Linked DNA regions of Rattus norvegicus. The protein of the gene in region 1 interacts with the protein of each later gene in a biochemical or structural test. Links are inferred from orthologs where the notes say so. Each region holds a gene or a part of one and is shown on either strand. Other genes may lie near its edges.

Region 1 (3,807 bases):
GGGGTGTCGCTGTTTAAAGCTTCCTTGGCCTCCTGTTCCCCTCTAGTCAGTTAGGTTCCTCATATTCTTCTCTCTGCTTTTGCCTTTCCGTCTTAACCCTGACTTCCCCACCGCTGCTCCCTTGCAGGTGCCCCGTTCTTCAGCCAGCTTGCCTACTCACTTTCCTGGGCGCTCCTCCACGATTTCCTGCCTCTCCACCTTTGCTAATGCTATTCTCTGTGCCTGGGACGATACCTTTGACTCATCTTCGACTGACCTAATGGAGAGAGCTGGGGCTCTGGAGGCAGAGAGACCTGGGTTTGGATTTTGGCTTCACCCTTATTACTTGGACAAGTACTTTGGAAAAGCATTTAACATTCTGGAGCCTCCCTCGGTTTCCTAATCTGTAAAAACGGAGATAATGACACCTACCTTGCAGGGTTGTTGTAAGGGTTAACTGAAATTATGTGTATACTGCAATTAACGTATAGTCAATAAATGACACATCGCTGTTACTTCTTACTATCTTCATGTTCTTAAAATTCTAACTTCAAATGATAGCTTTCATGGATCCTTCACTCCCCCTTCCCTAGCCTACGGATCCCTTTTCCGAATGTACACATTTTGGCTCCTTTAACAGCCTGCCTTCTCAGTAGCTCTGTATTTAGCTTTTCCACCCACCTGGAAGGCTGGCAACCTACAGAAAGCAGAGTCTAGATCTTACTCATCTCAACGAGCTTCCTGGCCACTGAAAGTTTGGCCTCGGGCCTTCCCACCGTGGGCCGTGCAGAATGCATGGGGGAAAAGGCACATAATGGAAGGCAAGACACTGGGAGCTGGGCAGTGGGCCTGGTGCACTGGTGGGGAAACTGTGTGTGCATGTGCTACCTACAAAAAGATAGATCTTTGTAGGGGCTGTGAAACCAGACAAGATCCGTGTAGACTGCACAGGCAGTTTGTGGGAAGGAGTCAGTCCTGTGTATAAGCTGAGGGGCCTTGGCGAGAATGAGAATGCATGTGTGGATATGAACACAGACCCTGTGTTGAAGGAAGTCAGACCCAGCCCTTCAGCTGCCCGGTCCAGCCCAAAATGAGCCTCCAGCAGCCTGGGGCCGGATATGTCAGTCTCACCCACAAGCTCCTCCCCCCTCCCCTCCCCTCCCGGCGGTTGAGGACTCAGAGGCCAAATTTGGTAACAGACTGAGTGTTATTCCCCCAACCCTCTTACATTCTGACTCTGTCTTCAGCTTTCTCTCTCCCTTTGTCCCCTGTAACTCCCTATCTTTCTGTAGAACCCCTTGTAGGTACCTACACTAGTGATATTCTCCATGTACCCCAAAATTCCTTAGCCCTAGTATACTTGCATTCCATTCCTTGCTGGGATTTGACCTCCTGTCCTCCACACCCCCCTCCAATTGCCCAACGCGTCTGGAATGCATCTGAGGAATGTATTGAGGGGAGGAGTCTCTGGGAAGGGGGACATGAGGAGGGTGTTGTTGCTCTTGATAAAACATGATAGAGAGGGATCAGGGCTCTCAGATCCAGACAGGAAGCAGGTACTTTCTACTCCTAGTCCCAGGGTTCTTGTTCTTTGCCACTGCTGGTCCCAACTCAATGTCCAATTCCTTGACTTCCTTCACACTCAATTAGTTGTATAGATAGCTACTCAGCCTGGAGGAGGACAGGCATGACTCAACTCTCTTATCGGGACCTTACCAGAGGAAGAAGTGGGTATCCATATGTCCGGAGGAAATGGGGGCGGAGGGGCACACATGCACTTTCAGCTTAGGCTGAAGTCCTTCAGTCCTGCTCTGGTTCCTTGGACTCTGCTTCTCTGACCAGCCCTCACTCTCCACAGCCAGGTCTGTCCCACTGCTGGAAAGGTTCCCCTAGGAGCAAGGAGAGGGCAGAGAGGCTGAGGAGGTTGGGAGGTGCTTTCATTGGGGTAAAGATGGAGTGCAGGCTATGCTGCTTTTCTTTGTAATCCTGAACTGTGTATGTGGTCAGGAATGTCCTCCTAGTCAGTGACCCTGGTGTTTCCTACATCTGGATCTGGTTTCTCTTAAGGCTGTCAACTCTCCCACTCCACCTTTCCTAGTGTCTTTTTCCTCTGCCCCGCCCCTCCTAATGTACCTGATTCTGTATTGTGGTACCTGCCTGCTTCCTAGTCTTTCCCTTAGTCCTGCTTTCCCCCTTGGACTAGCCGTTTGTCAGGTGAGGAGTGGGGAGGCCACATTCCCTCCTTTTTTAGTTAAGAGGCACCTAGTCCCATTGCACACTGGGTCAAGCATCAGGGCAGACCTGTCATCTTGGGGCTGCGTGCCACCTGCTGCTCATGGTGCTGAAAGGTAGAGGGAATTTGGCCTTGCAAACACTGAGCTGCGCTGAAAGCATCACCTGGGTTCCTAGTTAAGATGGTGACAGTGTGATGGAGAAGAGTACAAGAGACTGCGGTAAGGCTTGAGTCTCAGTGTCTGGGCTGTTGGCCCTGAAACTTTCTCCTCTCCAAGAAGTATTGACTAGGTCATTTCCGAGGTCTCTGGACAGAGAGTCATAATTGTACCGTGATTCAGGTTGGAAGAAAGCAGGGATACAAGTAGGTCTCCCTGGCATGCTGCCACAGGAAGTTTGCAGGACTCAGGAGCCCCCGGGATGCTGCACTTTGCCAAGAAGAAGGCGAACCTGTAAGAGGGAAGGCCACATGAGGTCAGCGTCGCGCTCTGAAATCCCTGAAATCCCAGGGCAGGGAAAAGGAAAAAACTGACCCTGGAAAAGGAAAAGACAAGGCAGAGGCGGGTTGGGGAAAGACGTGAACAGAAACAAGAGGCCGAGGAAGGCACTTGGAACCAGAGAGGCACGAATTCCAGTGGTGCAGGCAGGACAGTGTCCTCAGCTGACACTGCATCTCAGGCCTGCTATTGTCTCTATAGAGACCGACCAGCTTCTCTCTGGGATGTCTTAAGTGGTCTTCACCTTTTGAAATTCATAGGACAAAAGAACTTACTATTGTTTTCTGTCATGGTGATTCCCTTAAAAGTCTCTCTGGGACTCTGAGTCACTCCACTGAGGGTGTGTTCTAATGCTCTGGTGCTGCTGGCCAGGTATCGCCAGGCCGAAGAGCAGAAGCTGCCACCATGGTTGCGCTTTCGCTGAGGATCAGCATTGGGAACGTGGTGAAGACGATGCAGTTTGAGCCGTCTACCATGGTGTACGATGCCTGCCGCATGATTCGTGAGCGGATCCCAGAGGCCCTGGCTGGCCCTCGTGAGTCTGACTACTGAGGTGGTGGGGGCAGGAATCCTTCATCCCTTACTCTCTTGGTCTTGAGCAGTGTCCCCATTGTGTTCTAAGTTCCTCACCCCTCAGACCTGTGCTCCAAGATCATGGGAGAGAGAGGTCTGGCTGTTTGGCCACAGTGAAGTTTTTGTAAGTCTAAGGTGATCTACCATCTCTTTTAGCCAGCGACTTTGGGCTATTTCTGTCAGATGATGACCCCAAAAAAGGTATCTGGCTCGAGGCTGGGAAAGCTCTGGACTACTACATGCTCCGAAATGGGGTGAGTAACTCCATCATCATTGGCCACCCACGTGCTCTCTACCTGCTGTCTCACTTGTTCCCAGCACCCATGTTGTGTCTGCTCCTCCTCTCTCTTCCTTCCTCAAACCAGCTCCTTCCCTGAACCCTGGGCTTTTCACATACCAGCTCCTTCCCTGAACCCTGGGCTTTTCACATACCAGCTCCTTCCCTGAACCCTGGGCTTTTCACATACCAGCTCCTTCCCTGAACCCTGGGCTTTTCACATACCAGCTCCTTCCCTGAACCCTGGGC
Region 2 (4,506 bases), on another chromosome or scaffold:
ATGGAACACAGGAGCCGCCATGCATCGAACATTTACTTCATTTGAGCCTGTGTCTCATTTAGTCTGCAAACGAAAGGCACTGTTTCCACTTTACAGGTGAGGAAACTGGACTAAGATTGACGAGATCACACGGTCAATCAGGGGCAAAGCCGAGGATCAAACCTACATCCCACTTGCTTAAATCCCAGCTGCCCCTTTCCCCAGCAAAAAGCCTTTCCTCGTGTCTCTGAGGTATCCTGAGGGCCTTAGTTGGACAGCTCCCAGAATACAGACTGGAGAAGGGAACTAAGCACCTCATTATTGCTGACCTAATTAGGTGAGAATACACTACCAAGAAGCCTGGAAACAAAGTATTCAGATGAAGCTAAAAAGATTACTTTTGTACATAGAAACTGAAAGTCAGTCTCCTCGGGGCAGAATCTCCTACTGGGACAGCCCTCCTGTGGCACCTCACTTCCACCCTGTTCTGTGTCCCTTCCACACTGTGTGTCCCCAAAGTCACCACATCACCTGCTTCCCCAGGGACCTAGTGATGTTTGCAACTCTGCCACCAACACTGAGACGGCTTGTATGACAGACACTTCTTTTACAGGGTGCTCTAAAATCCTCGGTTCCTCAGCAGGACTCTACACCCTCTCAGAGGGAGTCTGGGGCTAGCTTACCACAAGCCATCACCTCTTTAGATTATTCCAATCACAACGACTCTGATATCCTATAGGTTTCGTTGTTTGTTGGTTTTGGTGTGTATACGATTGTGTACATGCATGCACAAGTACATACATGCTCATGCACAATTGTCCCTGGGCAGAGACAAAAGACAACCCTGAGTGTCATTCCTCAGAAGTATCACTTAATTTGAAACAGGATCTCTTTCTATCCTGAGCTTTCCAAGTAGGCCAGGCTAGCTAACGTGTGAGCCCCAAGGATCCATCTGTCTCTGTCTTCCCCGGGCACTGGAATTACAAGCACACCACTACATCAGGCTTTTTTAATAGGTTCTAGGGACAGAATTCAAGTTCTCCTACTTTCCCAACCTAGGACTAAAGGATCTTTAAACCCAAGCTTAGGAATAGCAGGGTAGTGTGATCCTATAAGGAGCACTGCAAACCAATGAGGGGTTCAGGAGAGGTGGGAAGAGAGTGAGAGACCGAAATAACAGATACACTTCATCTTCACTGGAGCTGAACCGTGCACTGTGCTATAACTTTCTTCTCGAACTACAGATGATGATGATGATGATGATAATGATGATGATGACAACGATGGCGATGACAATGACAACGATGACAATGACAACGACGACACTCAGAAATTTGAAAGTTAGAGATACAAACAAACTACAAAATGTTTCAAATATAATCTCAAAATAGCCGTGAAGAACTGGAAGTTGCCTAACACAAAAAAGACTAGCTACCTTTTGTACAGTGTATCTGTTGTCTGCAAACACACTTTCCTGCTGTACACAAGCAAAGCCTGTCATTGCATGCCAATTAAAACTTGAGAAGTAAAAATTTTTTAAAGGCTTTAAGTTCATAAAAGTTTGCCTATCTGTTAGAAACATCAGCTTTCCTGGTGGATTTCCCCATTCCCCATCAACAGCTACAAGGAGCTGACAAAAAGAAACTCTAATATCTCCAGGGCAGAATGCTGGAGATCCCGGTTCCCGTTCTGTGATCACGAAGCTTGTTCAATGTAGGCTAAAGACCGCGGTTTTCATCTTTCACTTGGAAGCTTCAACAACACAGGCCAACCATCAGTTCTGAAACCCCTGCCCCTGTCCCATGTCTACGTCCATCCGTACCATCAGAAAGGGGTCTTCAAGGTAGCCACCCAAATGGTTTTTTTTTGTTGTTGTTGTTTTTTTGTTTTGTTTTTTTTTTTAGATTGCTTAACCCCAAAGGCAACGTAATAAAGTTTACCTTTAACAAATAGTCAGTCTGGAGATGTAGCTCAATTAACAGAGTGCTTGCCTGGCATAAGGAGGCCCTGGGTTCAACTCCCTGCAGCATTATATGCCCTGAGAGGTGTTACAGATCTATAATCCTAGCACTCAATAGGAGGGGCACAGGGGAGTCTAAAGTTCAGGGTCACCCTCGACTACACAGAGTGTGAAGGATCCTGAAATATATGAGACCGTATTACACACGTGTACACACACACACACACACACACACACACACACACACACACACACACACACCATCTGCAGGGTTTAACTTGCTCCAGCTGACCTGGAACCTCAGTTTCTCCACCCCAGGCAACATCACCTCCAGCTCCCGTAGGACTCTGCGGACTGCATCACTCCCGTTCCCCGCAGCATTAATGAGCCTGAAAGTTGAAGATTCAGGCAGCTGATGGTGTGGGTCACACGCAGGAAAAGACAAAGCCAGCCCCGAGGACCTCTGTGCTGACTCCCTGCACACAGTCAGGGAGCGCTGGTTGAGAGGTCGGTCCCAGAACGAATGGAGCCCGAATCTTGTACCTCCTTAACAGAGGAGCAGCCAGAGGAACAAACTCGGGGGAGGTGGAAGGGGCAACCCAGAGCGCACACACCCACCCAAGCAGGTGAGCAGCATCCTTCTGCCGGCGCACCCGGACGACCCAGCAGAGCCCCATCTTGCCCCTGCTCCCCGGGCCAGGCCAGGGTCTCTGCCACCGTTGATGCGCCCTCGAGGCTACCGGAGGAAGGACCAGCTTCTCAGCCCCAGCTCCCACGATCCCACCGCAGTTCCCACACCCGCCGCGCGCTCACCTCCGACGACAACGCCCGCCAGCGCCCCCAGCGCCAGCAGAGTGGCCCAGAGCTGTCCCGGCCGCCGCGTTCGCATCCTGTCCACCGCCCTTCGCGCCGCGCGCGCGCGCCACGGCGAGCTGGCGCCCGCGGCTGCTTTTCCTGCCCCGGGAGGGGAGGGGACGCGGTGGGTGGGACACAGCGGGGCGGGCCGAGAGCTAAAGTTCCCTCCCTCCGGCGTCCGCCTGGACCCTGCCTGAGGCTGCGAGTGTGATGGGGAAATTCATCGCGCCTCTCTCCAGAAATCTTCCCCAGCCCTCCGCCCACTAGGATTCGCCTGCGTTCGCTAGAGGACATCGCGCTCCTGGCGTCCTGTGTGCATCTGGGTCCCAGGTGTCTGCACCTGGATGCTTGATTTAAAAAAAAAAAAAAATAGTAGCCTTGGGCCACTTCCTGAACTCTGTTAGTCCCACCTCCGCAGAGACATCAACACTGCTATTTCTCTTTGCTTTCCTCCAGTTTTCGTTCTTTCCCTCAGTCACTCAATGAGATCACAGGCAGCTGTCAAATGCTTTCCATGCAGCCTGCAAGCGTGTTAGGAAAGATGGATCCGTGCAGAGCCTCTGTCTATAAATGCTTGCTTGCATGTTGCTGGTGTCTGATAACTACTTCAGAACAGTCACTGTATTGCCTCCAAACTCTAATTCACTAGCTCTGTGGTATTTTCCTCAGAGACTGCTTGGCTGTTGTTCCTATCCCTACACTAGTTCCTTGGGTCTTCCCCACCAGATAGGAAACCTTTAGAAGTGTGAAAGGTGCCAAGTGCTGGAGCTGAAGAGGTGGCCACAGGAAGTGGCTGGACCTGTGAGTCCTGACGTAAGAATGGTAGTGTTGTTTAAAAAAAAAAATAGAAGTAGGGATGGTGATGTGGTGCAATCGGAAGGCACTTGCCTAGCATGCGTTGGACTCCATCCCCAGCACCACATCAAACAGAATGTGATGCCCAGAATTCCAGCGCTGAGGAGGCAGGAGGACCAGAAGTTCCAGATAGTTCTTGAGTACACAGGGAGTTCAAAACCAGCCTGAGCTATAAGAGACCATGGAGGAAGCGTGTGGGAAGAAGAGAGACCTGACACCTAGCCATGATCCATCACCTAGCCTTTCCCCAAGAGATTCTTGTCACTCCTAAATGTTCCATGCCTTCCCATCTGACTGGCCTTCCTTCCTCTTTCCGTTTGGAAAATTCCACTTACTTTTCAAAACATCTCAAATGTCATCTGTTCCGTGCCATCTTGTCTAATGTTCCTCCTCGTCCAGCCTTGTCGTCTGCAGAGGTGGACTCTTCTTCCTCGGACCTCTCACACACCAGGACACTATATCATTCCATGTCACAGGTATGAACTTTATAACTGTATAAATTCATGGAGACAAGTGTGTTTTCTACGGAACTATGACCTAGCGTTTTATTACTCTACCCAGTGACTCACAGCAGAGCATGCCGCAGACCCAGTACTAGGGTAAGGCAGAAGGATGGCAAGTTTGAATACACCCTAGGCTACATAACAGGAAAGCATCCCAAACAAACTAATAGTAATGGTGAGGCTAGGGAGATGTGGCAGTGGGTAAGAGTGCTTGCTGGACCAACATGCGGGCCTGGGTTCAAATCCCCAGCAACCACATAAAAATCTAAGCATGGGCATATGCTGCCCTGTAACCCCAGTGCAATGGGGAAGAAGTGGGGAGACAGAAGGCTGCCTGGCAGCTAGCCCAGCTCC

The links.
Region 2: the proteins of Tln1 (region 1) and Itgb3 form a complex in vitro, tested with the Homo sapiens proteins (6 studies listed by BioGRID and IntAct, with this or other methods). The link is inferred for Rattus norvegicus from reciprocal best matches to the Homo sapiens genes TLN1 and ITGB3.

Annotation. Positions count from the first base shown.
Region 1 is NC_086023.1:62,607,120-62,610,926, reverse strand, and holds part of Tln1 (talin-1), read left to right. Parts: intron 1-1,729; exon of another isoform or gene 1,730-3,080; 5' UTR 3,081-3,113; coding exon 3,114-3,243; exon of another isoform or gene 3,244-3,437; coding exon 3,438-3,535; exon of another isoform or gene 3,536-3,807. UniProt on the Homo sapiens protein: High molecular weight cytoskeletal protein concentrated at regions of cell-matrix and cell-cell contacts. Involved in connections of major cytoskeletal structures to the plasma membrane.
Region 2 is NC_086028.1:90,008,259-90,012,764, reverse strand, and holds the start of Itgb3 (integrin beta-3 precursor), read right to left. Parts: upstream 2,839-4,506; 5' UTR 2,829-2,838; coding exon 2,753-2,828; intron 2,302-2,752; exon of another isoform or gene 2,268-2,301; intron 1-2,267. UniProt on the Homo sapiens protein: Integrin alpha-V/beta-3 (ITGAV:ITGB3) is a receptor for cytotactin, fibronectin, laminin, matrix metalloproteinase-2, osteopontin, osteomodulin, prothrombin, thrombospondin, vitronectin and von Willebrand factor.